Canis lupus familiaris: one gene and its partners. The protein of the gene in region 1 interacts with the protein of each later gene in a pairwise test. Links are inferred from orthologs where the notes say so. Each region holds a gene or a part of one and is shown in the gene's direction. Other genes may lie near its edges. The genes, in order: CHN1, HEMK1 and NCK2.

Evidence for each region.
Region 2: the proteins of CHN1 (region 1) and HEMK1 interact in binary tests that used the Homo sapiens proteins (3 or more experiments, as listed by UniProt). The two-hybrid records come from large-scale screens. The link is inferred for Canis lupus familiaris from reciprocal best matches to the Homo sapiens genes CHN1 and HEMK1.
Region 3: the proteins of CHN1 (region 1) and NCK2 interact in binary tests that used the Homo sapiens proteins (3 or more experiments, as listed by UniProt). The two-hybrid records come from large-scale screens. The link is inferred for Canis lupus familiaris from reciprocal best matches to the Homo sapiens genes CHN1 and NCK2.

What each region holds. Positions count from the first base shown.
Region 1 is NC_049257.1:19,185,430-19,195,242, reverse strand, and holds part of CHN1 (N-chimaerin), read left to right. Parts: intron 1-5,209; coding exon 5,210-5,498; intron 5,499-7,520; exon of another isoform or gene 7,521-7,535; coding exon of another isoform or gene 7,536-7,544; intron 7,545-9,813. UniProt on the Homo sapiens protein: GTPase-activating protein for p21-rac and a phorbol ester receptor. Involved in the assembly of neuronal locomotor circuits as a direct effector of EPHA4 in axon guidance.
Region 2 is NC_049241.1:39,198,823-39,209,425, reverse strand, and holds the start of HEMK1 (MTRF1L release factor glutamine methyltransferase), read left to right. Parts: upstream 1-3,900; 5' UTR 3,901-4,052; intron 4,053-4,188; exon of another isoform or gene 4,189-4,325; intron 4,326-5,058; exon of another isoform or gene 5,059-5,161; intron 5,162-5,285; 5' UTR 5,286-5,409; coding exon 5,410-5,637; intron 5,638-5,924; coding exon 5,925-6,016; intron 6,017-6,285; exon of another isoform or gene 6,286-6,324; coding exon 6,325-6,418; intron 6,419-10,519; coding exon 10,520-10,603. Other genes in the region: C20H3orf18 (uncharacterized protein C3orf18 homolog), read right to left, coding at 264-497. UniProt on the Homo sapiens protein: N5-glutamine methyltransferase responsible for the methylation of the glutamine residue in the universally conserved GGQ motif of the mitochondrial translation release factors MTRF1, MTRF1L, MRPL58/ICT1 and MTRFR.
Region 3 is NC_049231.1:38,781,482-38,791,905, reverse strand, and holds the start of NCK2 (cytoplasmic protein NCK2), read left to right. Parts: upstream 1-4,877; 5' UTR 4,878-4,987; intron 4,988-5,108; exon of another isoform or gene 5,109-5,223; intron 5,224-6,202; exon of another isoform or gene 6,203-6,269; intron 6,270-6,691; exon of another isoform or gene 6,692-7,075; intron 7,076-7,184; 5' UTR 7,185-7,322; intron 7,323-10,424. UniProt on the Homo sapiens protein: Adapter protein which associates with tyrosine-phosphorylated growth factor receptors or their cellular substrates. Maintains low levels of EIF2S1 phosphorylation by promoting its dephosphorylation by PP1.

The sequences.
Region 1 (9,813 bases):
TTCTTAAAGGGTGCCTGGGTGGTTCGGTCGATGAGCATCCCAACTCCTGGTTTTGGTTCAGTTTTTCTATGTGTCCTATATTTGTTACTTTTTTATGGCATCCTAGTGTTTCTCCTTCAACTTACTTTCATTCTGTTTGTTTATCTCTGTTCTTCGTGAGAGAGTCTTCCCTCAGACGTCAGGTGGGCCTTGGCTAACTGTTCATATTTGAGTTTATTTGGCACTAAAAAGCTGACTTGTAGTTCTGAGAGCTTAAAAGAAACCAGCCAAGTAGAGGATGATGTTTCTATTCTTAAGTCTTTTCAGTTGGGCGGATGCGATTTGCCAGAGCAAAATTTTCCAGTCTCCTATCGTGAAAAAGTGCAAGCCTTTTGAGAATCTGGCAGCAAAGAAAGATGGGGGATTCAATCTTCAATATGTAAAACTTTCACTTAATTTTCAGGATAGCACCTCTCCCTTCAACACTGTCTAGTGTCCCCCAGTTCACAGTGTCCTTGTTTTATCCTATCCAGAAAATAAGGTTTAGGTCTTCCACCAGAGTGGGGGAAGGGGTGGCACTGGAGAGAGGACCAGAAAAGATCGGTGGGGGTGGGGGTGGATATCTTACCATTTCTTACGCAGACCTTCATCCAATTCTTCCATGTCAGTTCCACCTTCCAGAGCTTACCTCATGTCACCTTTGGAGGTTTAGTTAGGTGCATTGGCTTGCTTTGTTCACTGAAGGTGATTTACTGTGCCAAGGGAATATCATCACGAGTTCACACATTTTAATACTATTGCCTCATTTCACCCCCAAAATTACATGGCCAGATAGACAAATGTAGTATCCTAACAAAGGTTTCCGATGGAGAAAATATTTTTAAATTGCATATAGCTCCGTTCTCTCTTCCTAAGCCTTTCCTTTTTTTGGTATTTAACTGAATGCCTTGTCATATTCTTGTCTCTGTTCTAAACTTTTTTTTTTTTTTTTTTTTGTTCTAAACTTTCTTTCAAGAGTGTACTGACAATTAAATTTGTGAGATACTTGTATTTCATCATTTGATTAGCTTCTTTGACTTTGGTAAGCAATACACAAATATGTATTTATGACAAATAAAACTGTTCTTACATGTTGGTTTCTGGAAATAGTTCTAACATTTTATTGTTGACTTACACAAGTGTGTTGTATATGTTTCTTTGGTAAGAGAAAACATCTGTTAGCTTGGAGCTTTCCTTTGAAGAGATATTTTCAAATACTTTGACCTCAAATCAGAACTAATTTTTGGTTTTAGAAGAAGTAAAGCAAAATCCCAAAGGCTATTCCTTATACATATTTTCATCACTTTGTACCTCTAGACTGAGTTTTTTTAGTACAATTTACTTCTAAAAAACAGGGTGGTATTAAGGGTTTTGTTCACTTTTTAAAGCTATATGTTAGGATTATGTATTTTGAAATTCATCTGAATGCAGCTGGGTGCATTAAACAGTTCTTTAAAACATGAAGACCAAAACCTGAAATCACTGGAGAAAAATACATTTCTAGAAAGTGGTAATTATGTATTACAACAGTAGCAGTTCAAAGCAGATTATCCCAGTCTCTCTTCTCTATTTGTTAACTATAGTACCACTTTGAAGAAAATGAATTTTGTTGAACTCTCTAGGGGAGAGTTGGCCCTGTACAGCTTCAGATATGTTCACCAAAGAGTGAACAGCTATAAAAAAGCAAAGGCAAATGCAGATAATAAATATAAGAAAAAAATGAAAAGAAAAAATTTCCTATAGAAATGGAGGAAAATTGTTTAGCCTTAGCAGTTTTTACAAATCAGTGCTCTGTAGTGTGAAATTCAACTCTCATCACCAGATCCACTTAACATGCCCCGCGTTTAGTATGACTACATTGGCTGACCTTTCGCCTTTGAATTCCAATACCTGACTCACAAGCCACAGTGCAAAGATACATTGCTTCTCTTTTCCTCCCCTCTTTGCATTCTGCTGTAGTTCCACTCTGTTACACCAGTAATATAAACTTATTCAGGGACATCTGAAAAAATTCACAAAGAGGTCATCTTTGCCATGTGTTGACTATAAAACCAACCAGTGCGGAGATGTTCCTATACAAGTTATTTGGATTACCAGTTATTTATTTAGCCTCCTACAATGCATATTTATTCTCTTTTCTGTTTTACTTTATTGTTTGATACATGTTCTGTCATTCTCTGCAGAGGCCTAACAGTAGGAGAAAGGGAACTACAATTCATTGAACCTAGTATATGTATTTAGCTTTGACTTAAATATGTTTATGTAATCCTCACAACCAGGTAGAGAAAGATGATGTGATTCCTGTTCTCTAGATGCAGAATCTGAAGAAGGATTTTCTCAAATCACTCAGCTTAAAAAGTGGCCATTCCAGGATTTAAACTTATTTTGTCTGGTCCCAAAACCTAAGGTTTTCTGTTAAACACACAGGACCCACATTTTGCCTTTCTTTCCCTGGTCAAATCTAATTTCAAGGCTGCAAGGGCGCTTTTGTACTTGGGACATAAGCAGTAGTTCTGAGACCTTATTTAAGCAGGGAGTTCCTCGGTTTTCATATTGTGACAGAGACATTGGATTGACTTGCTTTCACGAATCACTGCAAAGAAATGTACCTTTTCCATTTAAGATCAAGGCTATACACATTTTTATAATAATTTTTTAGAAATCAAACTGAAGATAAATTCTTTAAAATTCAGCATTTCGGAGCACCTGGCAGGCTCAGTTGGTAGAACATATGACTCTTGACCTTGGGATCATGAGTTAGAACTCCACATTGAGGGCAGAGTTTACTTAAAAAAAACAAAAACAAAAACAAACATAAAACAGACCTTTAAAAATAAATAAATAAAATTCCATGTTTCATCTTGTGTTTCTATTGGCTTGTTTTTATGTATATCTATTTCCTATTGAGGTAATCAAGGGAACAGGAACTTTATTCTGAACTATCTGGGTGTGTTGTTAAATGTTGCATAAATGACAGTCTGTAAGTGGCAAACTTTTACAAGGATGAATTCTTTCTTCGCCCTTTAGATTTGGCATCTCTCTTTTTATGGCTCTTATTTGTAGACGAGACACATCCATTCCCCACCCTCCTCAAAGATTTTCTGTCATGCCTTTCAAATCACAGAAGAGAAGACAACTCTGCCGGTCTCTGCTGTGATGCTGTTCTTTATGTAACCTCCAAAGTGAAAGAGAGGGCGGTACAGGGTAGGCAAAGAAAGCATACAGTTCCTGTAGTGAAAATAATGCAGCTTTCTTAGAAAAAAATCAATCCTAATTCCAAAATGGAAATTCATTTTCTTGTCCTTTGAGGTTAAGTTTTAAATCAACCCATATTATGAATTACTTTAGTTATCTGATCACCTTCCTTAAGACTTGAAGTTTGATTGTACCTTAAGCCCAAAGCTGAAGTGCCAGCTGAGGAAGAATTGGGAATTGTATGTAGGGTTTCTTGAAGTTGCTGTGATAAAGAGAAAAGGACAAACTTACTTAGTCTTTTTTGCCCAATACCTAGAGGTAGCCAGGAAATCCTCTCCTTGGTTGGCTTAGGAATAGACCCATTGTGAAGAGGGACCCATTGTGAGATCTGCTCTTTCAGTCTAACCATCCCAACCCACATGAGGCTATGCCAGCCATCTTTCCTTCTGCCCAACGTTCCCATACTGCTCAGATTTTAGAAGAAATTCAAGTGACAAATGCCTTCCACCACTGCTTGGATAGTCTTAAGTTTAAGTGTCATATGCACTGTAAAATTATAAGGCTCTGAAGGAGTAAAATGGACTATTCCTTCATTGAAATGCCTCTGAATATAATTGAAATATAAAAGGACTTCATGTTAAACAGTGTTATGAGTGATTATTTTAAGAATCTTATAAAAATTATAAAATGGCTCTCCATGTTTATTTCTCAAAAGCAGATATATATTAGCAAAAAGGAAATTATAAAAGCAGCATATTAAACTGAAAAAAAACTTTTACATTTAATTTTGGTGTAGAAATTTTACCTTCCAGTTTTTTAGACTTTCATTATAATGAAAATTTACTCAGGAGAAATTTATAACATTACAGGAAAGTGGAGAATGGGAAATTGGAATTATATGGATCATTCACCTGAGTATAAGTCAAAATATAATTGCTATTAAAGAACCAAAATGTGGATAAATTTTATTTTAGTAGAAGGGCCATCATGATCATAATGCCAGGTTGGTTCTAGATTATCTGTTCTGGTTTGTTGTTGTTCTGTGTGTTTTTAACAATAAAAATAAATACACTATTTCTAATTTGTTTAGTTTTTAATTAGGCTCACTTGAGACCACCTTTGGGAAACCATGATACTGGCTGTTGGTGCCTGTTGGCATCAGCTTTCATAAAGTCAGGAAGCAAAATACTGAAATTATCATAAAACTAAAGTCATTATTCTCCAGTTTTTAAAGTATGTCACCAAAGCATGACCCAAAAGTGAGAACAGGAAAAAAAAAAAGTGAGAACCGAATATCTATAGTCTAGTAGTATATGATTTCTATGCCCTATATATATTGTAGATATTTCTTGTTTAGACTCAACAAGGAGACACAGAAAAATGACTCTGTAATAGGGAAGAGCAAGTCATTGACCCATGGCTAGTAATCACAAAAATATGTGTCTGTCGCTCTCTTGCCCTACTCTATGGCTCAGGTTCTGGAATCAGCTCTACTTTAAATGGGTTGCTGGCATCATACTTAGGTGAGCCCTAAAGGGAGCTTTCCCATTAAAAGACATGAATCATGGGGTCCGTAGTATGTTGAATATTTTTATTGATGAACTTGAAGAGAACATGTTAATATAGAAATTTCATCCATGATGGAGTTGACCAATTGAATATAGAATGTGTTCTAATAGGATATGGGCTTTATTTTCCTTGTTTTTCCTACAGGATAATGAAGTGGTTTAAAAAGACAAACAAGAACATTTTTTTCCTTCTAGAGGAGACATGCTTTTGGCTAGTTATCCCTAGTTGTTGCAAATTCATTCTTTGTGTTAAAAAGTTTTATTTTCTATATTCCAGACGATTTATAGAAATTAGCCACAGTTTATTTAACAAAGAAGACACACACAAACAAAGCAATAGTTTTTTTTTTGTTGTTCTTTTTTTCTTTTCGGAAAGAATTCAGTTGCTTACTTTTCTTAAAAACATCTTTCCCATTTCATTGAGGCAGATTTGGAAGTCAAACCAGAAACTTCAGGCTGTACTACGATGGAAAGCACTTCGTTGGGGAGAAGCGCTTTGAGTCCATCCACGATCTGGTGACTGATGGATTGATTACTCTCTATATTGAAACCAAGGCAGCAGAATACATTGCCAAGATGACGATAAACCCAATTTATGAGCACATAGGATACACAACCTTAAACAGAGAGCCAGCATACCAAAAACATATGCCAGTCCTGAAAGAGACACATGATGAGAGAGATTCTACAGGCCAGGATGGGGTGTCAGAGAAAAGGGTAAGCTACCATGAAACCACACTTGATCTTCTTCTGTTCGGGGTCTGTATGAAAAAGCCATGACTGCCAGAAGAGGCTGGCTTCATAGAGCTTTGAAAAAGATGTGCATTTTCCTTGATGTCTGGTTTCGTTGGTGCTGAGCTTTGCATATATCTAAACCTGGTTCAGTTATGTCAGGTAAATGCTTGTGTTCCCTATTATTTCCTATTTCATCAGTTTCATGGTTTAAAACTATGCTGAAAAAAATGCTCCCTAATTAAAAAAAAAAGTTCAGGGCTTTGGGTTAGAACCATAACTGTGGTCAAGAAAATATAGCTATATCCCATCAGAAATTGAGGGGGTCATGTAATCTATCAAAACTGCCTTTTCATTCCCTTTATAAATAGTTCTATTCTTTAGCAAAATGATAGATATCCACACTTTAAAATACATAGGATTAAATTTAGTCTATCAATAACTATTACACTATTTTGAGAATCAGTCAGTCCTGAGTAGCAGGAGCGTTTGTCTCCTGCTGGACTCTTATGAAGTAATTGAATCAGAAGATTTATTTTAATTATAAAAGACAACTTAAGTTTTTCATTTGGCATATTTTATAACATATTTAGTTAACATTAGAAGTTTCAAATCCTTAGCATTGATATTATTTTACTTTGAAAATTGTCCCTACTTGCCTCCTTATCCCCAAGAAAATGAGTCAAAGAATTTCCTGATGTTTTATTGTGTAGGATGTAGGTAGGAGAATTTTATGTATTCTAACTAGAATTGTGTTGATCCATTCTTATATTTTTGAAACTCTCCAGTTGCCATGTTAAAGAAATGCAGTATTACATAGTGCTTTGAGCTTGGATTGTGTCATCAAATAGATTTGTGTGCAAATTCTGCCATTTTACCTGTTGTGTGAGCTTACTTCACGTCACTTAATTTCTCTGTGCTTTGATGTTCTTATTTGCAAAATGGTAGTAATCAAGTTGTGAGAATTGATTTAAGGAGATAGTATGTGTTAGATAATCGAACAGTGATTGGCACATAGTAAGCACTCGAGTTTGGTGGTAATGTTACTTTAACAGCCATATTACCTCAAGGTGTAGTATCCTAAAATACTTCTAGTTGTCTTAAAGTTTTTAGGTACAGAATGGAAACCTAAGATGTTCATTGTCTAGCCTGAATTTTAGTTTTTGGCAAATCTAATTCAAAGTGGCACTTTGTGGGTACAGAGAAACCAACTTTTGAAATTACAGATTACAGAAAATGGTTTTCATATTTGTTAGGAACTCAGATCTTTTTTGGAAGTAACTAGAATTTAGAATCCTAAAAGCATGCTATATTTAATATTGTTCTTTTCACTCTCTAATTCCCATTTTCTCACTTTTGGTTATTTTCCATTCATGGCATCTTTCAGTAATGCTTGCATTTAAGTATCTCTAATACTGAAAATATGTTTTATGCAACTATGATAAACTGTTCTAAGTTAACATTTGTGAAATATTTTTATAGTGTGTGCATGTGGGGTTTTTTAGAGTTTATCGGCCTAATGATAACCTTTGTTAATGTGTTCTGGATATCCTTTTCAACATCAAGAGACTTCCGCTAACAACACTTAGCTATTTCTCATTGGACTGGTCGTTTAAACTCATAGGATCTTGGTTGTCCGTCCTACAAAGTGAAAATAGTATTCACAAAGGAAAGACACTGAGATAGATAATGCCTAAAGGACCCTTTTAGCTCTAGGATCCAGGATTCCCCGTGTATTCTGGCAACATTACATGTTAGATTGCCTGGATTGTCTTGTGCTGATGGCCAGTGATAGCCACATAGAGTGAAATAGCTGGCATTGGGAACTAGTTCTCTCCAGCAGTACATAATTAAGAATCATTTAAAAAATTACTCTTTGCTTTAAACTGCATGCATCTTAAATCTAGTTGGCTTAAAATCTACTCACTCAAAAATAGATTTATTTTATTTATAGGTGTCATCCAACAGGACAGGGATGATGACCTGTTCAAGAGGTGAAACATTGATTCCCTGTCACAGTTGATGACATTTGTAAGTAAAGACAATCGTGTTTAATTGATTTAAAATATCTCTTGCCACTAGTATGGTTTAGTAAATATTTTACTGGGTCCTGAATAGCTAAAGCCCATTTGTCCATGAGGGGCTTGCCTTTTCTTCAGAGGCAAAAAGTGTTGATTTTGCAGGAGTTAGTACACTGTCATAGAAAGGTTTCTGGTATTGGAATTAAGAGCTAGATTCCAGTTTCTACAATAGGAATTGATTTTATGTGTCACTTTGGGCGAATTGCTTTACTTTTCTGAGACTGTATTTCCCCACTTTTAGCAAGAGAGCTTTAGACTAGATGATCTCCAAGATGTGGTTCTTGTTCTAGTCTGTGATCCTTCAAGGAGTGTAGGTGTACAAGAAAGAGAGAACACAGTACTAGAAACAGCACCATACTTGGGCCTTGAAAGGGGAGATCTATTTTTAGCTTATCTACCAATTGATTGTATCACTTTGGGACAATCTCCTAACCAGTCTGGACTGCAGATTCTTCATAGATAAGGGGTTTTCTATAAGACAGTACTTTTACAAGATTTTCATTATAAATACTTGCTGCAAAAAGGGCTTTGTGCTCAAATAGGTTTGATTAAAAATAAAGTTGTTTTTTTTTTTAACTTACCTGTTCCTTTTCTGTGGGCTTCTCAGTTTTGCTAATAACCTAGTATGTATTATGACTCTCCTAGAGTGTTCCCAAACTCATCTGGATCGCCCTGCCACTGTTCAGAAAATTATTTAGGAAAATAGTGTTTTCATGAAATCCACTTGGGGAAATTCTGAACCAGATGATCTCTTAAGATCTTTTCTTGTTCTAAAAATCGAAGGATAAAAATTCCGTGTGGATTTTTTTTTTTTTTTCTTCAGTACTTAAGGTGTAAGTTGAGCATCTGAGCTTTGTGGATGGTTGTCAGAATTGTTTTATGGCCAGGAAGTTTTTTGCCAAAGGAAATGAGACCTGAAGGTTCTTAGCTGTCTCTAGGAAATTTTGTGGCCTGCTGTGAGGGGAAAAAATTTATTTTGAGAGACATCTATGTCATTTTTTTCATTAACTGTTTAAGTTGCTTCTCCAGCTTGAAATATCAGAAATTTAAAATTATTTTTTAAAAACATTGAGAGAAATTTAATCATGAAGTTGTAGCATGTTGAAAAGCTGGACTTCCTTCTCTTGTAAAATGGCTTAACTTCAGCATCCAGACTGGCCATGAGCCCAGCTTTTATTAGTGGCTTTTTCAAAATTTATCTTGGAACTGTATTTGAATAGTTTCTTTTTCCAAGTTGTCAGTATAGTATGCTCGCTTCAACAGATACTGGACCAATGGCTGAATGCAACAGTTTTTATGATGATTTTATACTTATTAATAATATAATTTTAAATTCTCCAAAGCCATGCTTTTAAAAATGGCTCATAATGTTAATAATATAAACTGTCAAATATGTAATTTGCATTTCAGAAACTATGCTATGAGTCAGAACTCTGAATCTGGCAAGAACTTCTTTACTTTTAGATTTAGTCTTTTAAGCCCAAAACTTTCTCACATATAACAATGACCTGTGATGACAAGGGTGTGAAAAATCCATTTATTGGTTTTATGGAACTTTACTAGGCCAAATAACCTTTATGTGTCTGTGTGTATATGTATTTTTCTTCTCCTGGAAGTTTGAGATGGTTGCAGTGTTTTGCATACTGTCATAATAATTTATTCTTAAGGAATTTCTTTTATGTTTAAATTCCACTTTTTAAAGACTTCTTTGGAGAGCACCAGACTGCATATGTATTGAAAGGCCTTGTAAAATATGAGGTTGAAATGTAATCAGGGCCTTGCCAAAAAACTGCCATACCTACTGGAATTCTCTGGGTACCTCTATGAAGTGATAAGAGTCTATGTCCCTGGGAATGGTGAAAGGAGCACAGGAGGTCCTGTCTGCTAATTTTCTTAATTCTCCCACAAAGCAACCTTTCTAAAAGTCTTTACTTTGCTTTATATTTATAAAATATAAATATATACATTATTTATGTATTATTTGTATCCATATAATCCTAATGTAGAAATCAGCAGAGAACCATACTTCAATTTCATCATTACAAAAGTAACAATATAAAAAACTGTTTGAATTCTTGATTCTCTGCTTTCCCACTTTGTAAGACCCATCTTTTCCCCCTTCCTTATTCCTCCCTAACCTGTGCTCCTCTTGTTCATCTCCTTTCTAACCCTACCTTATCAACATCCATCGCTCTCTTCCTAGTCAAATTTACATGCTC
Region 2 (10,603 bases), on another chromosome or scaffold:
GAACACCCTCCTCCTCAACTCCTACGTGGCCCTCATGGCCCAGCTCAAGTTGCCATGTATCCTCAGAACCCTCTCTCGTTCTTCCAATTGGAGGTAGCCCCTCTGGTCTCTGGATCCCCAGTGGACAAATCCCTGGAGAAGGGGAATCCTGTGCTATCATTCACAGACGATTCTCTTTTGATTAGAGTATCTAAAATCAAAACACCAGCCATGCTCCTCCAACTGGCGGCCACCTGGGTCAGCCCCAGCCTCTCAGCTCTTACCATGGCCACAGCCAGTCCAATGACGGTGATGATCCCAAAGGACAGAAGCATTGTGCCCACGCCAGCTGTGCCACCAGCCACATCAGGGATTCTGGTGTCATTAAAGCTGGTAGCTTCTGTGCTGAGGGTGGTGGTCTCGGAGGCTGGCCCCTCTGTGGCAGGCTCCAGGTCAGGCTCAGAGGTGGGTGGGCTACTGCTAAACCAGCCCCGGGCAGGGGGGATCCTGGAGTTCATGCTGATACTGACAGGGCCCTGGCTGAGCGACTGCCTGTGGTCAGTCAACCTGCCAACTCGCTTCTGACATCAGTGGTGTCCCAGCCCGTGGCCCCTTCCTATACTTGCAGGTTGCCACCTCCTGGGAGAAAAGGAGCTCCCTGGCCCCCTGGGTGCTGGAAAAGAATGAAAAACATGAGGCTTAGGACAGGACTCAGTGGTGACATCAAGTACCCCCAAGTTCTGGAGGTACTGGGGTAATAAAAGTTTGAGGGCAAAGGCAGGTTCAGGGGACATCAGGACATATGCTTTATTTAAGTATAGCTCCCTCGTGGATTTAGGAAGGTGAAAATGAAGCCCTGCCCCTTCTTTGAGGGTATGATAACCATAGTGATCATACTTAGAAGATATGAAAAGTAGTCGGGAGATTTGAAAGAAAGTCTCTCCCTTGCAAAATACCCACTTCTCCACCCCTCTACTCCCCACATTTCCCACCTCCTCACTCCCTGCCCCCCCATATCCCTTACCTCCTTCTTGGAGGAAAAAAAAAATACTGCAGCTTTTTCCTTTCCAGGAGGGAAACGTTTGCCCAAGAGTCAGATGACCCTAGGCTTGTCACTCCACCTCTTGGGTCTCAGATCTCCTGGGTTTTAGGTAGAGATTAACAACAAACAAACAAACAATACCCCACTTCCCTCACAGCCTCACAGGTCATAAGGTCATTGAAATGTCAGAATGAACTTGTCCCTAGCAAAGACTTAGCTCAGCGCAACCCCTGCCCACAGTAAGTACCCAGTATATAGACGTTCCCCCCCCCCCCCCCACCAACTGCTTCTTGGAGCTTGGGAAGAGGAGCCACAGGAGCTCCCCACCTAGCCCACTGTGTAATCCAAGCTGTGTTTGTGGAACAGGGGTGAGGGGGGTGGATGGTAAGCATGGAGAGACCAGAAGGCAGGAAGGTGAGACAGCTAAAGTCAGGTCCTCTGGCAGGGCTTCCCTGCAGGCTCTTAGGGTCACTGGACCTCCATGGGGAGCTAGGGGCTGCCAGGGACAAGGGAGACAAGGGGAGCAGGGAGCATATATTCACATGCAGGGATGGGGCTCCCACTCTGAGGTGCTTCTCCTCCCTCACCCTCCGCCATTGAGAACAGAGGGTGAGAGATGGGCCCAGACCAGGGTGTGGCTTACATCTTCCCAGGCCAGAAGGCCCCCGGTAAGGCCAGGTGGGACAGGGTCCCAGCCAAGGTGCAGAAGGGCGGGGCCTAGGGAGAGGGGGGATACACAGCTCCTGGCTGTACACATGCATCCCTGCACTAGCTCATGGGGGTTTGTGGGGTGCCTCCCTGTGCAGGTGCATGGGTGTGTGTGAGGCACGTACACACTAATGATTGCTCCTCAGGAAGGGGCAAGGTGGGCAGGGAGATGTGGGGGTTCATCCTTCTCTGCCCTCTCTCTCTGGCTAGGCTGAACGCGACAGCAGTCCCAGGTTCTTTCTTGGCTCTGCCTCTGACCCCAAACCGTGACCTTGGGCCTGACCCTTAACTCTTGCTCTGGGCTGTTTATTCCTGGGTCCACAGCAGAGAAAAAGGCCCTGCTCTTCACTGTCTGGGACTGCCTGGGGGTCCAAAGGGCAAGAGAAGGGGGTCCAAACGGGCGAAATGGGTTGGCACCGCGACCTTCGAGAACCCGCATACCGTTGTCTGCCAGGTTCCTCAGTCCTCCCTGCTCCAATCCCCATCCCCGCCTCTGCGACTCGGTGATTCCTCCATTCCTGCACAGAAGCTGCGGCTTCAGCACTTACTTAATCCTCTCTGGGGCGCCGAGCTCAGCCGGAAAGGCTAGGGGTGCTGGCGATCGGCAGGAGGCCGGGGCGGGGGGCGGCGGGGCCGACCCCGCGTCCGCCCTCCCCCTCCGGGTGAGCTCCGAGCCGCGGGTTGGGCCCGCTGCAGCGCACGGCCGGCAGCCGCGAGCGCCGGCTCAGCCAGCCTCAGCCGCCGGGCGCGGGCAGGCAGGGCCTGGACCCACCGCGGGGGCGGGGCCGAGGCCGGGAGCCCCGCGGGTCCCCCGCGCTCCGGCGCCTCGCCTCCCCGCCGGCTCCGCGCCCCCGGCTCCCGATTGGCTGCCAGGCCCACAGCCTGCCGGGCGCCGGCCCTCTCGCCCGCCGCGGGATCTGGCTCCGCCCCCAGTAGGAGCCGGACACAAGGTCTCGGGTCTTGGAGACCACCCGTGACCACCCGTGCGCTACGCCGAGGTCGGGTGGGGGTCCGTGGGGGTGGCCAAGCCCTTCCTGCCCCAGAACTCGCGCGGAGCTCCACCTCCGCCGATGGCTTCGTGCTCCCAGGACGCAGGCGGATGCTGGAGGCTCGGGGAGAGCACTGTACTGGGAGTCCTCGGATCTGTATTGACCTCTGGCTCCCCCCTCTGTTGCTTTGTTACCTTGACCGACAAGCTTCCCCTCCCGGGGGCTCGGCTTCCAGCTTAGAAGGGCTCTACTGAGAGGGCTCTTGGTAAACGACACCCACTTCGGGCTAAAAATAGGGCAGCTTAGTCCAGAAAAGTTGGGAGCCTTTGGTATTATTATTATTATTATTGGTCGGCCGGACACAAGCAAGACTACATATACCCCTAACAATAGCCCCCATCTATGGCGCGAAATCTCAGGGGAGGGACCCTCAGATACCTTCTAATCCTCGGGTTTTCAAAGGAGTTTATGGGGATCACCGGAGAAGCTTCTGTTACCAAGGAGATCCCTGAGCCCCCCTCCCCCCTTCCCCTCCGGTCTGGGACCCAGTCCAGGAAACTGCATGTTTAACATCAGTTAACAGTGATCTACTTAACAACAGATTCTGATGGGGTAGGGCGTCGGCACCACACTTGGTGGGACACTGTCATGAATTTTGTAAAAGGAACAGCTGAGGCCCACAGAGTGAGCTGCCAACGGTCGGGATTCGAACTCAGGTCTCCGGCGTTCGGTTTTGAACCTTCCTGCCCCAAACCCTGAAACCCGGGAGCAAGAGGCTCCAGAGCGGTCCTGGGGTCTAGTGGCCACCCGGCCGCCAGCGCGGCTCCGGCAGCTTCCTCGGCCGAGTAGTGGACACGGGGTCCCGCCCCCAACCCTGGAATCCGTCCACGTGCTGCCGGGCCTGCGGGAGGCTACGCTAGACCACGCCCCTGGACCGACCCGGCGCCCCGGTTCTCGAACCCGAGCTGGCTGGTGACCCGCCGCCGCGGCCGGGTACCCAAACGCCAGCTCGGAGTAGTCCCCTCGGGCTGCGAGCGCGTCCCTTCCGTGACCTTCAGGAAGAATCGCCGGTCGCGGCCCGCAGGGAGCCAGCTCCCGCACATCCACGCACTCCCCCGGCCCGCGGGGCTGCGGGCGTGACTCGCGCGGCTGCTGCAGCGTCCCCAGGGCTCCCCCGGCGGAACCCAGGAGCGCTAGGAACCCTGGAGCTGAGCGGCCGGGTCCGCCCGACCCTTTTCTCCGACGCTCGGCGCAGCGCGGGTCCGGCATATCCGGGAGCCGAGCCCCGGCCTCTGCGCAGCCTGGCGGGCCGGCGGGGGGAAGCCTCCAGGCAGGTATGCGCTAGGAGTGGGAACCGGGACGGGGCCCCCGGACTGCCACACCCTTGAGTCCCTCCCCCCGCGTTATACAGATGCTGAAACGGGCTTGGGGAGAGGCGACGTCGCCTGGGTCATTAATAATGCCTTGCAGAGCTGAGAGGGAAGCAGCTGCGTCCCTGACCTCGGACCTCGGGCGCCTCTGGGGCAACGCTTAGTGGGCAGAGCCGCCTCTGAAGTCCGGGGGACCTGGGTTTGTGTCCTGCGTGGGACACGTCTAGCGAGGTGATGGTAGGCCAGTGGCTTTCCCTCTTGTAGCCTCCTTTCTCTTTCAGGTTCTCTTTGGAGATGTGACACCCAGCAGGGGCTCTATTAATACATGCTAGTTTGGACCTTGGTCTGTGCCAAGGGAAAGGGAAGCACTAATTTGATTTTTTTAATTATTTTTTTTATAAATTTATTTTTTATTGGTGTTCAATTTGCCAACATATAGAATAACACCCAGTGCTCATCCCGTCAAGTGCCCACCTCAGTGCCCGGCACCCAGTCACATCCCCCCCCACCTCCCCTTCCACCACCCCTAGTTCGTTTCCCAGGGGAACCACTAATTTTAACCCTTCTGTTAGACTTTGTGACAAATTAAAGTTAACAAAAGTGATAATTTTTTTTTTTTTTTAAGGCGGCAGTTTATCCTGATGTTTAGGATTATGGGTGAGACGGGGGTTGCGGGGGCGGGGGGTTAGCATACAGGTCAGTCACAGTACAAGAAAATGTCAAAAGCAAAGCTCCTAAGCAAAGGCAGTCTTCTCTTTCTTGTAAGTAGTTAAGGGCACGCAACAGAGTGCCTTCTGTGTGTTGAACTGGTTCCTGGCCCTTGACGTTCATTGTATAATATACTGCTTGCTATGGAGTTGGTGTTATTGTCCCCCCATTTCATGGAGGAGGACACTGGAACTTAGAAGTAATGACTTTCCCAAGGTCACACACATTAGGTGGAACAGATCTGTTCAAACCTCAATCCTAGGCCACGGTGCATTGCCAGGGACTGAGCTCCGGATTCAGCCCACTTCAGCTAAAAACATGAAGAAGACATAACTGGTCACAGAGGAGAAGAATGAAATAGATGGGTGAGGGTCTAAAATGGGATTGAGGTTAGCAGAGCAAGGGCATGCTCTGTCTCAGGCAGCAGGTCAGAGGGGAGTGGGTCACACAAGGCTCAGCTGCTCTCCTGGTTCTCCTTCCTTCTCCCAGGGCAGCAGTCACATCTGGAGCAGAACCACCTTGAGGAACCAGTGTCCATGACCATCTTTGGCAACTGACATCACAAGGAAGACTTACGGACTTGGGAGTGTTCAGGAGAATCATTCCCCAAGATATGGAGCTTGGGGGCCGAATGCTCTGGGCCCTCCTGTCTGGCCCTGGGAGGAGGGGAGGGACCAGGGGCTGGGCCTTCAGCTCATGGCAACCCCATCTGCCTCTGGCTGGGTTGTTGAATGCCAAAGAACTGGTCAGGCACTGGACTGCAGTCTTTGAGAAGAGGGGGATCCCTGAGGCCCAGGCATCCAGTGAGTACATCGTGGCTCATGTCCTTGGAGCCAAAACAGTTAAGTGCAGTATTGTCAAGAGTGCAGAAGAGGAGGGAGGGAGAGACCTAGGGAAGAACATCCAGGCATTTCTGCCCCACTGAGAATGCTGAGTTGAGAGTGATGGGTTTTTCTGGAGGAATGTTTTTAGTAGATACTTATTTATTCATCCAATGAACTATTACAGTGTGTGTCAGGCAGTAGGGGTCCAGGGATGGGTTGGTGTTGGGCCCACAGGTATTGTTCACATAAACCTGGGTCAGGCCCTCGATTGGGGAGTCAGCCACTCACATTCTCTGTGGGGCAGTTTCAGAGCCTGAGGCCAGAACTTTGGACACAGCCCCTGACCCCTTGGCAGTTGCAGTGCATCCAGGAGCTAAGTAGCCGCCGATTGCAAAGGTGAGCACCCATGGGCCAGACCTGAGGACTCTGTCAGGAACAGGTGTCTGGTTTCCACCAGGCCGACTCATGCACGGTCAGGAGGAAGAAAGTATCCGAGGACTAGGGAGGTGTTGGTATAAGGTATGGATGAGAGGGGGATCAGGCAAGTAGAAGGGAAGGAGGGAATGCCTTGCCTCAGAGTCCTGGGGTACAGGAAGCATGACCCTGACATTTTTGGTATCCCGCAAGGGGTATCTCTCAACCCAGTCGTGGTCCTGTTGGTCCAGGCTCTGGCACTGATGATCACCCAGCTGCCCCCTCTGCAGGATGCCTGTGCAGTACATCCTGGGTGAATGGGACTTTCAAGGGCTCAGTCTGAAGATGGCCCCCCCAGTGTTCATTCCTCGCCCGGAAACTGAGGTAGGTGTGCTACCAGGGCAGGGCAGCATGGATAAGAACAGTGGGGTTTTGAGCACCTTTCTTGCCCCATATTTCCTCCAGGGGGCGCTGGGACCCCATGATTTTTGTCCTCAGAGGCCTTCTCTGGCTACTGGTGTCTCATGGTTGGCTGAGTAGGAGGGGCCAAGAGTACAGAGGTCTCCTGCTGGCTTCCCTGACTGTCCTCGTGTCCCAGGCCTGGCCTACCCAATCCATGGTGGGGGAAAAAATTCCCTCTTCCTTCTCAGGAAGCATGGGTGAAATGGATAGTGTTCCAGCAGGACACCCAGAGGCCTGGTACAGCTGTGTGACCTAAGGGCCTCTAGCCTAGGGAGGGAATCTGACTTGGTCCTCTTAGATCTACTGTCTGGTCAGGTAATCACCTGTGTCCCTCATGTTACTATTAATAGGGATTGTGTGGCCCCAGTGTGCTATTCCTTGGTGATACACCCTTATTCTGGGAGAGATGCTCCCTGTGGCCCTTCTTGGGTTTCCCCCTAACACTGTAGGGAGCCAGAGAGAGCAGAGCAGATGGATAGGGCTGATGGGCAAGAAGGCACCAGGTTCCGAGCAGGGGTGTCTCTTGAAACGTACCCAGGCATACAACCATTCCCGGGAAAGATCAGGCTTCATTCACCTGCCCAAAAAGGGACCCAGAGCCCCTCCTCACTTTCCTAGCCTCTCCCCCCGAGCCAAGAAACTCTCTGACCCCATTCGCTTCCATATCATGTGCTTGAGAAGCCAGGTCCTCACTTTACGGCCCAGTGTTGGGAGGGACAGTAGGGAATATGAGAACTTCCTGAAGTCGCAGGGCTGCCAAGGGGAGGAGCATAGGGGCAGCATTTAGACTTCCTGACTCAGTCGGGGCCCCATCCTTCCCATGGGGCTACTCTATCTGAGATTGGATGAGTTGGGATGGAGTGCAGAGATCCAGAGCAGGATGTGAACTGCCACCTGTAGCCTCTTGGGAGGGTACCCAGTGTCTTTCCCAGGCATGTGAACTTTGGCTGGGAGGTCACTCAGAGTCTTCTGAGGCTGCTAAGGGTCAGGGCAGGGGAGGGAAACTAGTGATGACCTTTGAGTCCTCCTCAGGGCTGATCTGGCACCAGCCATGTGCTCCAGGGTTCTGAATATCGGATGTAGACTTCCAGCTCTCATCGGCCCCCCGGCCCCCATTCCTCTGTGGGTCTGAGCCAAGAAAGCAGCTCTGCTGCAAGGGGGAGGGGAAAGGGAAGACAGAGGGGGAGGCTGTGGTTGGGAGGCCAGGTCCTTACCTCACTGTACAGACGTTTCTGAGAACTTGCCAGGTTTGCCCCATTGTGAAGCCACATTGGGGGTGCTTTACCAAGAACTTGAAAGGACGTGGCCTGTGGCAGGGAGTAGGGAGAATGAGTTGCAGGGGAGAGATCATGGTGCCTATGTTCTTTCCATCCACTGAAAGGCAGTTTTGGTTAACGGGGGCAGAAGTCAGAAATGTGAAGGTGTATGTGGCATGTGGCTCAATGAGTTGGGCTTTCCCTGGGGGTGGTAGGGTGGCTTAGTCTTCGGCCTGCCAGTGTGTGCAGTGGGAAACCCAAGGCTGGGAGTGTGAGCCATCCCTATCCAACCTGGAGAGGTGAGGCTCTGTGGGGTGTAGGAGGCTCAACGCCTTGTCTGTGGTTGGCTTGCGGGAGATAGTGCCACCCTCCTGGGGCTGCCTACCAAGAGGATCCTAATGGAGGGTACTCAGAGCACTCAGTTCCTGCTGAGGCCTTGGCCGACCTCTTGAGGGGTCCTGGGGTCCAGTTGAGACAGTGGCTCCAGCAGAGCCAAAAAGCTGCCTATTTCCCACATTTCCCCATCCCCCATCCCAGGTCCTGCTGAGGCCTTGGCTGATCTCTTGAGGGGGTCTGGGGTCTTGTTGAGACAGTGGCTCCAGTAGAGCCAAAAAGCTGCCTGTTCCCCACATTCTCCCATCCCCCATCCCATCATGGTTTTGGATTCTTATTTACCTGGAGGAGGTGCCCTGGGTCTGTGACCATTTGGCTTTCAGCCTCCCCTAAAGAGCCACCAATTTCATGCTGATGGAGGCTGGAGGCTCTTCACTTGGTGAGGAGGAAAGTTTCTGGACTTTTTGCGGGTGGTCTCTACCCCTAGCACCCAGGTGGTCCCAAAGCTAAGATAATGCTCGAGTGGTCTGGAGTGTAACAGAGGGATTAGAGGGCACTGGGGGCAGTGGAGGCCCAGTCTTACACTTCACATGCTGCCTGGGGTGGCCGTTCATATATGTGGTATGCGTCTCTGAGGTCAGGGGTGTCTCTGTGAGGAGGCTGGTCAAGAGGTCATTCTCCAACCAGAGTAGGTCTGTCAGTGGCCAGGAAACCAAAAGAAGTTCACACCACTGACAAGTCTCAGCTATTCTATCAACCGCTCAGTATGTGGCCTCAGCGCTGACACCACAGTCTCCACTGTAGCCCTAGATTACTTGCGCTATGTCATTCCCAACACTGTGGGGCCAGATTGCTGCAAGCACCCTTACAGTCTCCCGGAGTGCCTGCTACAGCGCTGGCGGGAGCAAGTGAGGGGAATAGAAAGGGTTGGACCCACTGACCAAGTTCTACTTGTCTTGGACTTGCTACCTAGGGACAGGTGAGCTCTCTGCTCCTGGTATTGGGGGGCCTCTAAGAGTGAAATGCCTTTTGGGACTCAGCACTTGAGGAGCTTACATGGAAAACGGATCTGAGTGACCTGGAGCCACTGAGCCTGACTGTTGACATTGGAGGTTTGGGGGGACCTGGTGAGGGAGTCTGAAACTCAGAGGGTAACTTCCCACAATCACTGAGAAAGAGCTTTCCAAAGCCCTTGTGAAGTAGTCAGGAGGCCTCCCTGAGGGTCAGACCTTGCCTGTGGGACACGCTGTGATGGGTTAGATCCCTGGTCTTCCCATCATGGAGCCTTCAGTCTGGTGGGAGAGGCAAACCGCATCCTAGACTTGAGACTCATGGTGAGGAAAACCATGAGAGAGACCCTGCCAGGGGGTGAGGAAGCCTTTCTGGAGGAGGTAGACTTCTTTATAGATGATGGAAGCACCCACTTGCTGACCCCTCTGCCCATTCCCTGAGCCAGCCCTGCCTGGGATCCCAGGAGTCCCAAGTAAGACAATCACTCCTCAGGGCTGCCTTTGAGAAGGAGGGACACTGCCCTTTTCCAGCCCCATGCCAGCTACTTGGGGCCTCACTCCACTACTCATTAGAAACGATTGGCTTCTGGGCAGCAGCAGCCCCCTCTAGCCCTCACCTCTTCCCTCTATTGGCTTCCATGCACAGTCCCCCGTAGGTGGCAGATGGTGGACAAGACCATTGTTTCCAAAGTGACAGTGTCTAGAAGTGTCCCCCAGCCTCCAAGACAGGTATGGTGCAGTCAGGCACCTCCCATCACTCCATGCCCACTTATCCCATGCCCTGTGTGGATGGGGCTCAGGCAGGACTCTGTTGTCTCTACTATGCCCCACCCCTATGAAGGGAATTCCCTGTTCTTTTGGCCTGGGAACCTCCCTGGGAGCGTCCTAAGTTCAGCTCTAGGAAGAAGCTGGGGAAACTTTGGCTCCTGATGATTGGCCACTATGAGCTGTAAGCTGGGCTCTAGGAGGGGCCTTGACCCCTGGGCCTTGGCTTCCTCATGAGCTGGTTGTGAGGATCCAACAGATTAAAGGAAGGAAAGCTCTGGAAGCAGGGCCAGTCACAGAAGAAGTGGCCAGGAACCATCAGGTGTGGTTCTTAGCATTGCCATGAGCACGAGACAGAAAACTGTCTATAAAGGACCTAGCTGGGGTTATTGGACACTTAACACGTACTGGGAACAGGATCTGTGTTTCATGAATGCGGTTCTGTTTAGTCCCTCAGACACTCCGATGAGGTTGGTTATCCTCAGTGGCTCAGTTTTACAGATGGGGAATCTGAGGTGTAGAGAGGGAGATGAAGCTGTCTGGCTTTAGTCATCCCCTCTGCATTCACACAAAAGCTAACCATGCTTGGGCCTCTCTGCCAAGACCCCCAAGGAGGCCAGGTTGACGCTAACTCTGATTCAGATCCCTCTGCCTCACAGGAGTTGGTTGAGTGGGTGCTAGAGGAGGTAGCCCAGAGTCCCTGTGCAATGGGAACCCAAGATGGCCCCCTCATCCTGGAGGTG
Region 3 (10,424 bases), on another chromosome or scaffold:
TTGGGTAAGAAATTACCACACTATCTTCAGACTCATGTTTCTGTTCCACCCCCCCCCCCTTGCCCCTGCTAATGTAGGTAAAATGAAATACCGAAATCTGTAAGTCCACAGTATTTGTTCTGAAATTCTTATGGTGAGATCATAAAGGCCTCTTTTTTAGATCTCCTCACTAATGCTCACAGTCCTGTGTTGCCTTTGGCAAACTCACAGAGGTGTGGAATTTTCATCCATCATTACAGATCTATTAAGTGTCTGATCCTACTGGGTACAGAGAATAAGGTGCTAGAGCTGCAGAAGAAAATCAGACTCAGTCCCTGCCCTCAGGGTGTTTCCATCTGTGCTAAAATGGATGTCACAATTAAGGAGCAGTGTGGTTCGTTACCCCAGTGGAATATTCTAGATCGAGAGCACTAATAGCTACTCTCCCAGCCACAGGTCACTCAAGGGTAGGAACTGTGCTTTGCTCATTTCTGTAGAACAATCTCTGCGTAGTAAGTTGGCAATAATGTGCATTAAATTTAAGTAAATGGACAAAACCAGAACTGTTTATCCCTAATAGATCAGTTTATCCTGCTTTCCGATTACTGATATTGATACCATCATCTTTGTACACATTCATGTCTGAACCCTCAGGTTATATTTGATGCCCTCTCCCCCTCTGCCTCCCCATATCTGATCACTTGTCAATTCCTTGTCTTTCCCCTTAATTTCCCCTGCACTGATGCTCCTCCATTGACTCCACCCTAATTTGAATTATTACATCTGAGTAATGCAAACATAACACCACTCTTCCTACCTCCAGGTGTTCCTTGGTTTGCATGCCAAATGAGTTGTCCTGCGACCAAGCTCCCATGATGTCCACACTTAATAACCATATCTCCTTGGTCTTACCTCCCCTGGATCCTTGGCTGGCATCCTCCATTCCACTGAGGCAAATAGGGGCATTCCCTGTTGCCATGGAATCTTGCCACATTTCCCCTCTGTGCTCAGGGTTCTAAGTTTCCTCCATCTGGAATTTCCTCCCTGTCTCTAACTTTCAAAATCCTCATAGTTTGTGGATGCCTGGGTGGCTCAGTCAGATAAATGGTGTCTTCAGCTCAGATCATGATCCTAGGGTCCTGGAATGGAGCTCCATGTTGGACTCCCTGCTTGGTGGGGAGTCTGCTTCTCCCTCTCCCTCTGCCTCTCCCGTTTGCTTGTGTTCTCTCTCTCTCAAATAAGTAACATTTTAAAAATCTTTAAAAATTTCTTATAGTTTGTGTCATTTAGGGGTTTGGGTAACAGGAAGGGGAAGTGCCTCTGGTGGCCTTAAACAGAACAGGGATTTATGGTAAGAATATCAAGTAGCTTGCAGTGGGGCTGGAGATGCTGGGAGAAGGGGTGAGAACCAAGCAGCTTAACGCCTCTGTAAGGAGGTTCCAGGACCCCTTCCTGTAAAAGCAAACTGTATCTCCTCTTCCTCCCCTCTGTCACCCTCTTCAGTTTCAAAGTCTTGAGGGAGAAGGTTCTACTGGTCAATTTCAGACCATTCATTCTTACAGGGCTTTGGGGAGGGAAGAGATGGAGAAACCCACTCTGCTCCCCTCCACAGTCAGCCAGGGGCTGCCTTAAAACCAGGAAGGGGGCTGTCTAGAGGGCCACCAAGGTCTCTCAAGGTCCATTCCTGATGCTACCACCTTTCATGAAATCTAAAGACTCCTCTGACTCCCAGAACATATTTTGCTTGGGGTTTTTCATATTTAGTTTTATATTAGAGTTATTTGTATCCTGGTCTTATCCTTCCTCTGAGATTAAAATCTCCACTTATTTTTATTTCTCCTGAATTATCTCTTATAATGCAAATAGACATATACAAGATATGTTTAATTAAATTGAATGTTAAGATAGAAGGTCATAGAAAAGCTGATACAAGTGTTTACCATGTGCCGACAGACAGTTGAAACATGTTTACATTATCTCACTTATTCTCACAGCTTTTTGTAAGAGTAGTGTTATTACTATTTGAGGCCCAAAGAGGTTAAATGATCTTAAGTCATGGGCTTGTAGGCAGGCTGCATGCCTCTGAAGTCTGACCCAACACCCTCAACTTTACCTTGGATTTCCCATGAGTCTAACGAGGGGTCTCTGAATGGAGCTCTGAAGAAAGAGTGGGGTGAGAAATGTCTTCCTATGTCTATATGGTCAAAGTAGAAATTGGTGTGACTAAGTGGGACACAGGGTGGGGAGCAGAGTGACCAGAGTAAATAGCTTAGATTGTGACAGAGTCAACAATGAGATTTTTGTGGTAGGACTAAGTTTAAGAACCGTTAGAAAGACAAGTCTTAGGATTTAACGTTGAAATGATTTGGAGGGAAAGGTTTATACTTTTTCTTTTCTCTTTTTGTTAGACAGGGAGAGGAAGGGAGAGGAAGACGGAAAGGATGAGAGATAATTTTAAGCAGGCTCCATACCCAGTGCAGAGCCCTGTGCAGGGCTTGACCTCACAACCCTGAGATCATGACCTGAGCCAAAACCAAGAGATGGAAGCTTAACTGATTAAGCCACCCAGGCTCCCAAGGTTTGTACTTTTTCACTTTCAATATTTCATTATGGAAGACATTTCAATATTAACAGCATACTAACAGAGTGGAATGCGGAGACATACATTTTCAGATACAGCATCAGCTGAAAAGAAACGTCTCCCCCATGTTGGGTCTCACAGTGGGTCAAATGGTGGCCCCCAAAGATATGTTCATGTGGAAATTGTGAATGTGATCTTATTTGGAAAATGGGTATTAGTAGCTGTTATCAGGTAAGGATCTTAAGATCATCCTAGATGGTGGCAGGGTATGAGTGCGTGCATGTGTGTGTGTGTGTGTGTGTGTGTGTGTGTGTGTGTTCTAAATCCAATGGCAAGAGAGAAGGGGATCAGGCTATGGGAAGACAGAGGCAGATATTGAAGTAATGTTTCCACAGGTCAGGGCAGGCCTGGAGATACCAGAAGCTGGGAGAGGCAAGGAAGGATTCTCCACTAGAGCCTTCTGAGAGAATATGCTGACTCCTTGATTTTAGACTCTGGCTTCCAGAAGACTGAGAGAATAAACTCCTCTATTTTAAGCCATACAATTTGAGGTAATTTATTAAGACAGCTTCAGGAGGGGCACCTGGGTGGCTCAGTGGTTGAGTGTCTGCCTTTGGCTCAGGTCATGATCCCGGAATCCTGGGATGGAGGCCTGCATAGGCCTCCCCGCAGGGAGCTTACTTCTCCCTCTGCCTGTGTCTCTGCCTCTCATGAAACAAACAAACAAAAAAAGACAGCTCCAAGAAATGAATATAGGCCTCTTAGGCTCAGTTCCTCAGCCTTCTCAGGAGCAAATGCTCATCTTCTGCTGTCAGAGAACTCTTGAGGAACTGTGGTAGGCCATGGGGAGTCATGGTTATTTCTTGAGCAGGGGCAGGACAAAATAGAAGCAATTTTTAGGAAGATTACTATGACAATGATACCCCAAAATTTGGGAGGTGGGTGAAAGTGAGCAACAGGAGGCTACTTGGAAGGCAATGGGGTGTACTGGAAAAAACACGAGTTTCGAAGTCAAGTATGTTTAGTTCTGACCCCAGTTCCTTCACTTACTGTTTCCATTTTTTTTATATGTATATGAGGATAATACTCTGTATATGTATACCTGTAACTCACACATGATACTATTATATATATTATATATAATTATTTTATACACACACAGATACACACACACACACATATAAAAGAAGTTTCATAAGTGTCATCAGTAACAATGTAAAAATTTGGATGGTGTCACTGGAAAGAGAAAAGAAGATACAAAGAGCTGTTTCAACAGCACCAGGACTCAGAATCATGAGGATTTAGACTGAGAGGGATCCCAAGGTCATCTTGCACTCTCTCCTCACTGCCTTTGGGGAGATCTTGGAGAGAGGGAAGGAAGGAAGAAATGAGATTGCAGTGAAGTTTCTCCAAGGAGCTGAGATGTCTGGTGGATTCTTGGCCAAGCCTGAGACCGTGGGAGGAGGAGCTACTTTGGGAAGAGGATAAATTTCATTCTGAACCTGGTGATATTGAAGAGATGATGAGCTGCCCAGAGAGACTGCAGACAATCTGGGGAATTCTCTAAGGCTACAGATCTGAGAGTTAATCACTGAACATCCAGACTGGAGGCATACAAAAAAATGATCAACTCTCTTAAAAAAAAACAAAAAAGGCACAAATCATTATAAAAACAAGGGGCCAAATTCTGCATCAGGAATATTACTGTTAGAGGTCAATATGCTCTCCAAGAGAATGATGTAGGAAGTTCAGAAGGGTAGCTGTGTTAGATAAATGAAAATAACTGAATTTCAGGTAATAGCAGAAATGCCACGTGCTTCTGAAGACTGCATAGGATAAAGATTAAGAAAGCGACATTGGATTTTAGATAGAGAATGTCCTTGGGGACTCTACCTTTGTAAAGGAAGGAAGAAGGAAGAGGAATTCAAGAACGGTGATTCAGTGATGGTTTACAAAGCAGACAAGTTAAAAACTGGGTCAATGTTATTATATGGATTTTGGGTAAACTAATTTAAAATTGGGTCAGACCATTTATTATAATTCTGCCTTCCTTATTAGTAAGACAAAAGGATGAACTGAGGCAGCTCTTTCCCCAAGGGCAAAGAGAAGGAGGCTATCCAGATTCCCTGATCTTGGATCCGTCCCTGCTCAGTACACTGTACCTACTCCCAGCTAGTGACCTACAGAGTGTGCCCTACAGGCAGGAAGGGTGCCAGGGACTGACATGGGAGCTAGGTAAACACGATCTCTCCATTTGTTAAATTTTAGATCGGTTAAGAAACACCTGTGCAAGGTTCCGCAGTTGAAAAAGCAGATAGTCAAAGGCTGTACTGTGACTTCAAAGGTATACTGGTTCTGGTTACCCAACCTGGATACTTCCTTTTGTGAACAAGGCAGAGGATCAATGGTTCAGCCTTGTCACCTTGGGTAAGTTATTATTGCCTTAATAGTAATGAGAAGCCAGGAGCCTAAGAAAGAATCTCATTAACATGGATCCAGGCTATTCCGCCAGGAAATCAGAATCACTTGAATAGTCGGGTTTCCTTTTGGGAAGCCGTGTGGGAAGGAGACTGGAGCACAGGCAGCTGGATGCATGTGCCTGTTAGAGGACAACTTGTGTTTCCCCTTCCTCCAGGGTTTTAATCTTCCGAATTTGTTTACAGGTAAGTCCCTGCGTGTGGCCAGGTGACCGGACCAGTCCCACTAGTAGTGACAAGGCCTGGGGGGGGGGGGGGTGCGGGGAGGGGCCCAGCCGCTGGCAGCGCCTGCCAGGTTCTGCCGGGTGGGCGCGGGGGGCTGGGCCGCAGGCGGGGCGGCGCGGGGCCGCGTGTCCTCTCTGCTCTCAAGAAGTGCTTCCGACGGGAATGATGGAGTACAAAAGTGTCTGTTTGGGAAAGTAAATAGATACAAGGCAAATAAATAAAAATGCCCAGAGGCAATTACAGAGAGGAAGTGACATTTTTATGTAAGTCACTTTTCTGATGGACCCCAGGCCTGCCTTGCCGAGGGTGCCGTGGGAATGCTTCCGGGAGGGGGCCGGCCGCCAAACAACTAGAGCGTCGCGATAAGAAAATCAAACAAAAAGAGGATGGAAAGGCCGCGCGGCAGTCACTGGGGGCTGGAAGTTGCTGCCTTTCTCTCCCCTGCCGTCCGCTCGCCGCCAGCGCTGCCCCAGTCCCCGCGCGGGCAGCCGGCAGCGGGCAGCGGGCAGCGGGCAGCCGGGACCCCCGCCCTCCCCGCGCCCCGCGCCCCCCGCGCCCCCCGCGCGCCCCGGCCGAGCCCCGGGTCCCCGCGCCGCCCGCCGCCCGCCCGCGCCGCCCCAGGTGGGAGCCGGGCCCCCGCCCCCCGCCCCCCTCGCCCGGGCCGGCCCTGGGCGGGGTCGCGCGCGGCCGGGGAGGAGCGGCGCGAGGAGGAGGAGGAGGAAGCGCGCGGAGGGGCGGGCGCAGCGCCGGGGGAGGGTCGCCGCCGCCGCCGCCGGGATCGTCAGGCCGGAGCCGCGCGGCCGAGCGGGCGGCGGGCGGCGGGAGGCGGGAGCGGCGGGAGGCTCGCGGCGGCGGCGGCGGCGGCGGGGTCCGCCCGGGCCGGCAGCGTCCGCCGCGCGGCGGGAGGAGGGAGCGGCGCAGACAAAGAGCGGCGCCTGGGCGGGCGCGGTGCGGCCGCCGCCCCGGGACCCGCGCCGCTGCCCTCCGCTCGGCGGGCGGCGCAGGAGGTAAGGCGGTGCCGGCGGGCGGGCGGGCGCGGGGCGGGGGCCGCCAAGTTGGGCCGCGCGGGGGGCGGCGCGCGCCCGGGGGCGGGGGCGGGGCGGGGGCGGGGGCCGTGCCCTGGGCGCCCCGCACCGCCCTGGGCCCCGCCGCGGCCTGCCCCCCGCTCCCGGCTGCGCACCTCCGCGCCCGCCTTCCGGGCCCCCCTGTGCGGGCCGGGCCGGGCCGGGCCGGGCGGGGGCGCGGGGGCGCGGGGGCAGGGCGGCGCTGCCGGGACCGGGGACCCGGGGCGCGCGGGGGCGGGGGCCGGGGGCGCGGGGGCGCGGGGACGAGCGGCCCCGGGAGGAAGCGCCGCGGCTCGCGGGGCCGCGGGAGGCCGCGGGAGGCCCGGAGAACTTGCTGTGCTTATGGCAACTCTCCTGACCCCGCACAAAGCTGCTGTCACGCCGCGTGGGGGAGGCCCTCGCCTGGGCGCGGGGCCGCGGGGCCCGGGGACGGTGCCAGGCTCCGCGCCGCGTCCCGCATGGGCAGGACCTCCCGCACCTGGAAGAAAGTTTCTCACGACGCTTGGCCTCCCGGTGTGTTCGGGGCGATCTAACCACCAAGTGGTTCTGGAAGAAACCGGCGTGTGGTTGGGTTTTAAGGCACTGAAGGCACCTCCCCCGTGAGCGCACCGAGTGTGGCGTTGCGTGGAGGCGTCTACTTTGCAGAAACGCCTTCGTGCGTGGACAGTAACGATCGCCTTGGAAGGTCTGCGGGGGATGCGGGGCGCGGCGGCTGGTGAACACCGGGCACCTGACTCTTCACGAGCTTTGTAAGGGCTTCAGGGACGGGGCAGGGACGGGGACAGTAGGCCTCTGTCACTTCAGACAATTGCGGTTGGCAGTTTCCCCTTTATTTGTTTTCGTTTATTTTGCCAACAGGTTTAAGGCTGAATCTGCCAACTTTGTGTCTGTATAAGGGGATGAGCAGGCCCCAGCGCTGGGCCCCCTCCTTCCGTTGAACCAAACAGAAACTGAACCACGGAGGCCAGCGGGCACGGCCTAGCCCCAGACCTGCAGGTAGGAGAGGCCCTCCCTGGTTCAGGCCCTGGCTTCTGGGAAGGGATTTGGGTAGGAATGAGAGTAATTCGGGTGTGTTTCATACCACTGCTGGTATATCGTTAGCAGCCCTGCTCTGCAAGTCTTAGAACGACTGAAAATGAAATTAACCAGGGCTACTATAACTTAATCAAAACAGATCTAAACTTTGCTTCTGAACACTCTCTTAACGCACCTACCAGGCGTTCCTGGGTGGGTGGGTGAGTGAACAGGATTCAGGCATGTGCCGCGTTTTATGAAAATAATGGTCGCCAGCGGACGCGCAGAGAAGAGATGGGCTTGACTGGCTGGGGAGGTGGGGCTGTTGATGGAGGTTTTTCGGTGTTTGGAACAGGGATTTCCCGAGAAATGGGTGTTAATCAGGCTAGTGAAGCAGTGACCAACATGGGAAAATCCTCCCTTAATTATTTCTCCTTTTGAGGTTACTTAGATGTACTTTGGATGGCAGGAAAAGACCGGATGTTTGTGGTCTTCTGGCTGCAGCTACTTGGAGGCTGAAATTGAAAACTTTAAGCGGCGGGGAGCTTGTGGAGGTGCTTGGCTCCGCTTCCTCTCCGATAGGCCTCACCTGGGCTCAGCTCGGAGCTTCTCAGCTGCTACCTAAACACACAACAGTATTGATCATGGGAACTGTGGATGAAATTGGGTGACAAACTGCCACCCGTAGAACTGAGTGCTCTATCACCCACCTCTGCCCACTCGTGGGAAAGCTGGCCCCGATTGATTGATTGATTGGTTGATTTTTTAAAAGATTCTGTTTGTAAGTAATCTCTACACCCAATGTGGGGCTGGAACTCACAACGCTGAGATCAAAAGTCCCATGCTCCTTGGACAGAGCCAGCCAGGCGCCCCAAAACTGGCCCTTTTTAAATGGGTAGGGCTTGCGTAAGATGCATTTCTAATAGCCTGTGCTCAGTTTCCAGGCTTTGGGTTTTGCTTTGTGACATGGTCCATGGTTACGTCTCTTCATCCCTGAAATCTGTGACCCTGCCCTGTCATTTGCATTGGGGGATTATTGAGGTTTTCCAACTGACAGCCGATCTTATGTACACAGTATTTGAGAAAGGCACTATCATCCATATTAAATACACCGGAAATCTTCTTTGCGTGTGCACAAACTAGATAACCTTTTGAAATACCCCAAAGACTCCCTGATTGCCTGGAATAACTGGAGTCCTTTACTTGATAACTTGCATTAGCTTAATTTGCCCTGGCTAAATGAGGCTGTTTTGCTCTCCGGGATACACATGCTTCTAACTGCCCAGACTGACTTGCAGCGTGTGCTGGGGGAGAGAGGGTTCTCCATCATTCAGAACAAGGCTGGCTAGCTGAGGAGCTGAAAATTGCTGGATCTGCAGGGGGAGGGCAGTGTACAGTGTTCGGGAAAACTAGTAAGCTGAACTTTATTTCACAAATGAACTGGAAACTCCCCACCACTCACCCCAGAGGCTTAGGGAATTAGTTTTCCCGTCCAGAGGGATAGCAAATGGCACTTCCAAATTGTTTCTCTTTTCTCAGATGAGTGATGGAAACCCTTCATGACATATTTTCAAAGGGCCTAAGCTAAAAATGCTGTCATGTATGTTCAGTGCTTGAATTCAGGTGACTTAGAAGGAGGCCAAGACAGCCCTCTAACCGGTTATCAAAAGTATGCAGCTAAAGTAAAAATAGTTTCCAATTTCTTTAGGTCACTTTAGTAACACAGTTTTAACAATTAGACTGTTCTTTCCTTTCCTACATTTTACGTTGAACAGATCCAAACGTATGTATACTTCTGAAGGTGTAATCAACATTAGCAAGTTATATCACCCCCCCCAACACGCGCACACTCACTCTCTCTCTCCCTCTCGCGCGCGCACACACACACACACGTGTCACAATCTGCCCTGTGGTTTCTGTGTTTGTATCTTAAACACGTGGTTTGCCGTAAATTCTTACCGAACACATGAATGCTGAGTTCTGAGCCTATTGAGTTATTAGGGCTCTAGGTTCCCACTGAGATATAAAGCCAGAATCTTTGTACATTCTGCTCAGAACCTGTGACATGGTGGAAGGTGTTGTCCCTAGGATGGGCAAATGTGGTCTGATGGCCTCTCTCTTGAGTAAATTCTCAATCACATGAATCATTTATAGTCCTGAAGCTAAACTTAACGAAACAAACAAAAAGCAAAACAAAAAACAAATCCAGTTGCATAAACCACCTGGTGGCTTGGCTCTATATAGTACTTTTCAGTAGATTGTGGGTGTCAACACCAACTGGAAACTTGGGGCAAAGCATTTGTTACCCTGGCTTAGTTCGTTAGCACCACCTTACTCTTTCATCCCCTTCATATTTTTAATGTTTTTAAGGGAAGAAACTTCAAGTATATTAACAATTTAAATACTGCAGTTTCCTCTTGATAGCTCGGCTGGTTAGTGGTTAGTGAAGATCCAAAGTGCCATAGTCAGATAAAAATAATCGATATTAATACTCGTGCATTAATTTATAGTTTACAGTTTGCTTTCCAGCAGTGCTGTCCTATTTAATATTTGAAAAAATAACAAGGTAAAATGGGCTCTAGTCCTTATTTCTGTGTGAGGAGACCAGAGCTCGAAATTGAGGTAAGTCCTTGCCATCTGAGCCCTGTGGCCCTGCTAAGCAGGAGGTAGATAAGGAACACCAGAAGGTGCTGCATCGACGTTTTTGTGAGGCTCCTGATCCACAGGCATGTAGCGCAGCCGTGGATCCCTTTGCCATTTGCAGATGTGAACAAATAGTGCTTGGGAGCAGATTCTTGGTGTGAGTTGATTCTTTGAAGATGAGCCGTTTCAGAGGAGACCATTTCGGTGAGCAGTTTCCGTGAACTTTTGTCTTTGCCTCATTGCCAGGAGCTGGCATGGCTGTGGAAGTCTGCAACAGGGTGCTTACTCTTGCTTATTATGTCTATCAGTCTGCTCTGGATGCTGTAACGGTACCGCACAGTCCGTAAAGCAGAAATTTCTTTCCCACAGTTCTAGAAACTGGAAAGTCCAAGATCAGAGTGCTGGCAGATTCAGGTCTTGGTGAGTCTCTCGTCCCGGCTT